Drosophila melanogaster: one gene and its partner. The protein of the gene in region 2 interacts with the protein of the main gene of each other region in a pairwise test. Each region holds a gene or a part of one and is shown on either strand. Other genes may lie near its edges.

Region 1 (3,759 bases), on a different chromosome or scaffold from region 2:
AAACACACTCACCCAACGGAACCAGCGGATTCTCCTTGATCTTGCGCTGCAACTTCTCCTTGGTCGTTTCCACCTCGGCAACGGGTCCCAGGTCCTGGCGCAATTGTATCCAATCCAGTTCCTCCTCCGGAAGCGAGACTTCAATTTTGTTCGACATATCGCTCTTAGTCCCGGGCAATATTAGTAAAACAATATCAAGCAAGTCAAATTCTATTATTCAATTGGAGATGACACCAACGCTTACGATGTGCGTGCGTTCACACTAATAAAGCGATAGTTTTCTCGAACTATCACGACTTCCAAAACGACAAACATCAAGAAACGTTCTGAGATTGAAACAAGCCATGAATGGAAAAACGTTATTTTTAAATAAACAACGCCTTTTTTTTCTTTCTTTTTTTTAATATATTTGCTATAATATAACTATATTACATGTATTAACATTTGATATGGTTCACACCCTTTACCAAAATTACACATCTACTAATTTGTCTATACCTTTTTTTAACATAATAAAACTAGCAGCAAATAATACTTTATTTCCCTAAGAAATAAATATACCTGAATTTTTTAGAACGAAATTAATTTCACCATTTAAAATAATTTATATTGTTTTAATTCGAAGAAACCAGAACAGGGCTGGTATTTTAAAGTATTTCGAAGTCAATAAATATTAAAATATACATATATAAATAATCGATTTAAACAAATAATTTAAAAAACCGCAAATAAATTTTAAAGCGAAAATCTTAAGTATAGTATGGAAAAATTAATAAATAATTTTAATGGCCAATATAATTGAGATTTTATTTTTTTTTTTGGATTTTTGTGACCTCATACATTACAAACATACACACATGCATTACTCCTTCTCTCTGTATGACAGAGAGAATTGAGGGAGAATTTGTTTTAAAACATAAGAGAACATTTTTTTCTCTTTCGAATTCGAATTGAAAGTACAGTCAGACGGGAACACACAAAATGAAAATGTGTATGTGTATGTAGCGGGTCGCTGCGATGTACATATGTTTGTGTGTTCCACACGTATGTACATACAGCTGCGTTCGTGGAAATAGCACTGAAAGGCATCAAACGGTTTTTTTCCGTATTCCCTTTTGTTAATTAATTTTTTTTTTCGCTTCGTCTTCTGTGTCGCAAAACAAGCAAAGCAGTTACAAATGGCTTTTTGTACCTGCACTGCTCTTTAACAAAACATATAATTTCAGTAATTAATATGAACTTATTCATTCTGAAAAACCGCTTGACAAATTGAACATAGCATTCATATAAAATCATCAATTTAGAAAGTGGCGGTCATATGCACTACTATTAGCATGAGCACAGTTGTATATGCTTGGCTATGTATCAATGTGTTTGCATTGATGCATATCGGTTTTGTAGAATTCGTCGCATTAACGAATGTAGCTGGCAGTTAAAAATAAGATATGTATGTTTAAAATAAATTTTGGCCCTAAGAACTGTGTAATGTACATATGCATACATACAGTTCTGTATTTTTCCCACACTCCACACACTCCATAGTTTGTATGTTTGGCACGCCAGCGTTTATGTACATACCCGTGATCGTATGTTTGTATGAAAGTAACAGGCCAAAAAGTTTTATAAGGCCTTTTCCCTCCACCACGTGTATGTACATATGTATGTATATGACACTGAGCGCTCTCTCAGCAACACTAATTCTACCAACAAAATGACTATAACGACTCTCTTCGCGCTCTCGCTCTCCCGCACACACGCACACCAGCAAAGAATTGCGCACACAGTCCAACGCAACGCAACGCATACACATTTATCCGCCCGTTTGGATTTGGAAGCACAGTGAGAAGGTAAGGCAGAGACGGCAATTCAATTCAATTCATTCGTTGTTGGTACGAGCGGCGCGCGAACCAACCTCATATATTGTATTTTCCGCATTCGCATTGATACGATACCATACTGTGTGCTGTGTACTGTGTACTGTATAGCATATATACCATACCACACCAACAAAACACAAGCGATACGATACGATACAATAAACTCAGCGTATGCAGCGCTGTTTGTTTATTTTTTACAAGCTAAATACAAACGACAAAACAAATCCGCAAAGCCGCCCGCGTTTCGCGTTTTCCCAACCAAAAAAACAAATAAAATCAAACAACAAATAAGCGAAAAAGGCCTAGACAAAAAAAAAGAAGTACAAAAAAACAACGTGCATTGTGAAATTCTTAAATTTTCGAATTTCATTTCGAAGTTTTGGCTTGTGCCGTGTTCCTTTTTTTCCTTGTAACGTGCATCATACATTCGCGTTTGTGGCCGTACATGCATACATACATGCAATAATCAATACAATACGACGTACAACAAACTGCGTAGAACAGTATTAAAAAAAGGAAAACAGACAAAAAAACTGGCTTAAGACTCGACTCCAATTTGCGTTGGTGTGCGTATTACATACATACGTACTTGTGCTAAAACTAAATATATATGCTTTAACCATTTAGGAATAAAAGTGAAAGATATAGAACGGAAATCCCAGTATAAAGCCAATCCACGATTGAAACATTCGGACTAGATCCGAAATCTCACAGTTATGGAACACTTTCATCAAATACAGGTAAGCTTGTGTGCAGGTATACGGCGTTTTATTTAAAACACACACGCACGCACACACAAACACACATTTATATACACTCATGGCACAACACACATACAATCATGGGCGCGTTTATGTATAGGTTGCCGCGTTTTAATCATTTTCCCGCCAAACGACAATGTATAATTAACAAAAAAGCCAGGCACCTATTTATTTATTATTTATTTGGATATTTCGGCACCTGATTGCCTTTTCTCAGCCGCAGTGGAAACTTTTTGTGAATATATATGCTGCATACATACTTACATACGTATGTACATGCAAGCGCTTGTACATCCATTGCGTCTCGCTTTTGTTTTTAGTTATTAAGTAAATCGGCATGTTACTAAATGCAAAAAGTGTACGCCTATGTATGTGCAAGTATGCATACAAACAAAAAAGCGACGCTGTACAATCAAAATTGTATTTTGCGTGCGCATCCAAGTCCGCCATTTTTCTTATTAGTTTGTATAAATATACAAATATGTACATTTATACCAAGAATCGTGAATGCCTTGATGTAAACGGTAAACCGCATTGCTTTTCGTTTCTTATGAAATATGCTGGCAAAATGCGATGCACGTTTTTTTGCATGCCTATTGATGTACGTAAATAGATACAATGTGCAAAAATAAGGAAAATATGATGTACATAAAAAAAATACATACACATATAAAAACCTGTATATGAAAAGACCCAAATCACAGGCTTGCGTAATCCGAAATTGGCTTATTTTTATCCATGTGTGCATAAAATACAAATGAATGGCTGTGCAAACACTTGGCTATGCAAATATTTATGCGCACATGTATATTTCTGTGGTTACATACATATGTATCCCCACGTAAAATGGCTCTAATATTTATTTATTTTTTTTTTTGGCTGTTGTAGGAAAGTGTATTTTGCTTTTTCATAATTGACAAGCAGGATGGGGCTATTTTCGGCAAAAAGAATGGGTTCATTCATGTTTTGTAACTGTGGCGCCCTGGTTTTGCACTTTAAGCCCTGGAATCGGAATCGAAATGAAGACAATCCAATCCGATTCACAAAACGGAACCGGTGCTACTCGCTCTGCTTCTTCTTTCTCCAACAATAGTTCCACTTTCTTGCCCGATTCATGTAAA
Region 2 (3,759 bases):
AAATAATGTAAAATAAAATAAACTTAAATTGTTTCAGGTTCCATTCGGTTTTCGTTTCAAGTTTATTTATGCTGGTGCCACAACATTCCACGATGACTCCAATGCGTTATCTTCAGCACCTAAGATCTGTGGGGTTCTAGTTTTCCTACTTTGGTTGATATCTTCTATGCCCTTATAGCTTATAAAACGGGTCGGATAGGTTTCAGTATTATACTCCGCAGATCCGCTAATGGCAATTGCCAAGTCGGTGCGCTTTTGAGAAATGCTTAAAGCGTGAGTTAGATCATTGATCTCTTTGAGATTAGTGGGGGTCCAGGCTTTGATGACAGCTTCTACGGAGTAATATCTATTTTCCTGGGTCTGGTTGAACAAAGCCAATTGGTTATCTAAGAATGACAGTTTTCTGATGGAAGTTTTCGTTAGATTTCTAACCTCGGGAACGTTCTTTAGTTCAATTAGAGAATTAATTTGCGATTTGTTCAGATTGTCAAACGAATCCTCTAAGCTATTTACTTTTGGCTCGATATATCCAAGGAGAAGTTGATTTACAAAGTTGAGTCTGTCATCCAATCCTTTTGTTCTGCGCAGAATTTGTCCTTGGGTAACGTTAAGTTTATCTACGAGGTTCCTTACACGATCTTTATTCTGCTCTTGGAGCCTAGTTAAATCTGATACGGCTTCGATTGATCGGTTGGCAAAAATGTCTAAGTTCTGAAAAGAGGTGACAACGCCTCGAAGAAGTTCCACTTCCCAAAGCAGAAGTTCCTGTGTCTGGTTTCGGAGAAGTTCCTCGGTGACTTCGATTGCATCAAGGTACTCTGCCTGGTTGTCCAGCTCAGCGTCTATTTTCCAGTTAATTGCGCTGACAGCATCAAGCTGAGTATTAAACCGATCTAGGGCTCCTGCATTTTCAGCCAGGAGTGCAAGAATTATTTCTTCTTCTGATGGTTGTTCAGTGGTTGTAGTGGATTCAGTTGTGGTAGTTGGCGAATCTTCCGTTGATACCGAAGTTGTTGTGTTATTTGTTGTTGAACCAATTGTTGTGGAAACTGTTGTTGGTGAAGACGAGGTGCTGGTCTCAATTGATGTGCTCCTTGTAGTCGTGGAAGACTCGGTTATAGATTCTGTTGTGGTGAAATCAGATGTGTTTGGTGAGGAGGTGATAGAATCGGCTGTGGTTGAAGTAGTTGTGGAAGTTTCATCCTTTTTGGTGGAACCCGATGTCGTAATTTCGTTAGTCGTAGAATCGCTTGTGGTAGAATCAGTTGTTGATAAAGAAGTTAGTCTGGAATCTGTTGTTGAAGCTGATGTTGTCGGAACAGTTGTGGTTTCAGTAGTTGTAGAATTATTTGTGGTGGAGTCACTTGTCGATGGAGAAGTTGTGGATGTTGTTGTCGTTGAAGATGTAGTGGAAACAGTTGTTTTTAAAATTCTCGTTGAAGCTTGAGCTGTGGTTGAAGACAGGGTCGCAAAATCGGTTGTGGTAGATTCATCTGTGGTGGAATCATTAGTCTTTGAATGAGATGTGCTGGAATCAGTTGTTGTTGTAGCTGTCGTTGAAGAGTGAGTAGATATTGAGGCCAGTGTTGTGGAAGTCGTTGTTGTTAATCCGTCTGCGGTATATTCACGGGTTAATCCAGTCTTCGTAGAACTTGTGGGGATTGAAATTGGCGTGGCTGTAATGATTGGAACATCAGTAACTCCTTCGGATTCAGTATTGGCCACTTCGTCAATATCCTCAAAGTCCACAAATTCCTCCACTTGATTGAAGGGATCTGCTGCAAAAGCAGCCCCCGTAAAGATCAACAAAAGAGTTGCAATTGGAAGAAACATTTTCAGACCGCACTTAATGCTTGTTCTTATAAAAGAACTAAAAGTTTAACTGCCATTTGATGGCCTTCACCCCAGCTTAAATACACTTTACATTGCCGCCCACGTTCACGTTTCGGTCTCAGGTGGCAGGTGTGCTATCTTCAACCGCTTTCTGATTCTCAGCATTCTTTTTCTTGTACCGTGCACTTTTTCTTTTATCGGTTTTATGCTGTGCTTTATGGGTCAGCTTGTACAGCACGAGTTTGATGTTTGAAGAAGCCACCGATTCTGGTTCATTGTACTTGCAAATGTAGACAAAGAAAAGAAAAACAAAGAGACACATGGCTAGATTTCCACAAGCGACAATTGCGGAATATCCATCAATAGGAAAGCTAACTATTAACCACATAAAAGTCAACGCCAGTCACATGGGGGTCACACTCAAAGTCAAATTTTAATGAAAAAGTGATTCATCATTTAAGCGGCTGCATCAATTAATGGCCAACGGGGTGAGTGGGGCGCAGAAGGGCGGGCCCCTCAATAAGCGGGTCAAATTAGAATAAATAGTTACACAAACAAGCAGACCCCTTTGCTCTCTCTGGCTCGCTGTAAAGGGGCGGGGAATTATTGCAACAAATCAAAAAATTAAAAATAAATAAAAATGAATTGAATAATTTGGGTCACCAATATATGGCTCTCTCCCTGAGGCGCACAATGCCTACGGAATGGGTCGAGTCAAGATGATGGTGGTCGCTTTTGGTGGTTATATGGGGATTGGGTTGGTTTGGGTTGGGTGGGTAGCTTTCAATATTCCTCATTAATTAATTGCCGCATAATTCATGTATTGCATGCTGCATGGATGTACTCAGAAAAATTACTTAGGTATTAGAAATAAGCTCAAATTACAAAAATATTTTGTCAAGTGGAATTTAGAAAAAGTTACCATTTGACACAATTTTTTTGGGAATTCAGATTATTAATCAAAAGTAGTGTTTGATAAAAATTAAAAAATTATTAAATGAAATCACAGACATACATTTAAATAATTAATGTTAATGATTTATAGAAGTATATCTTGTGTTACAAATTAAATTTGGACTCCGATTTTTATCATCAGTTTTCTTTTCCAGTGTTGGAGAAGAACTTTTGATGCACGTTCTTTTCGCTATTGAAAACCATGAAAATATTTGGAAATGGGCCTATGTTTCGGGTCCGTTCCGACTTCTTATGCTGGTTGACATTTAAACCCATTTCGATCGCGGCAGTATGGGGCTGATCCGTTGGGTGGATGGGAAAGGGAAGAGGATGAGGAGCTGGGAGCTCGGCATGCAATTATGCATTCATCAAGATTATGACACGACATGCAAGTTCCTCTTGTGTCTTTAGCAGCAAATGAATTTGTACTTGGCTGTGGGTGTTGTTCTTGTCGCAGTTTTTGCTGTAGCCTCCAGTGTTTTGATAGAACAATTTTGCCGCGGGCCATCTATTTTTTTCCATTTTACTGCAGGCTGTGGTGGCAGCACACGCGATTTGGAAGCGGCGCGTAATTAATCGTCAAATGAGTTTAATTGTTTATGTCTCTCGGTCGCGTCTGTGAACTGAATGCGGTGTCTTCAGATGACTTTCAGATAGGAGATGGCAGAATGGCAGAGCACATCGAAATTTGGCTCACAAGCACTTAACTAAGCAGTTTAACTAATGGCCTGAGCTAAAAACAAACTGTGCTGCGGATTAACTGGATTACTTGTATTTAATTTATTTATGGATGCAAGCCATCTTTGGTATTTCCTAATGATACATTTTAATTTTTTCCGAACAAAGCTATCGCCTAACAAGCTCTATTAGTACGCGAAATTAGAAAATTACGAACCAGCAGCAGGGAAAATTAGAAGAGCATTTAGAAAAAACAATTTCAGCTATGCGGGGTGCAAAGTCACCGGAACTGGG

The links. Proteins that work in one complex are often made in the same cells at the same time.
Region 1: the proteins of CG4066 (region 2) and CG9921 interact in a two-hybrid assay, tested with the Drosophila melanogaster proteins (one large-scale study listed by BioGRID).

Annotation. Positions count from the first base shown.
Region 1 is NC_004354.4:16,331,797-16,335,555, forward strand, and holds the start of CG9921 (uncharacterized protein), read right to left. Parts: upstream 1,805-3,759; 5' UTR 1,579-1,804; intron 327-1,578; 5' UTR 158-326; coding exon 13-157; intron 1-12.
Region 2 is NT_033777.3:12,309,427-12,313,185, reverse strand, and holds CG4066 (uncharacterized protein), read right to left. Parts: upstream 1,834-3,759; coding exon 67-1,833; downstream 1-66.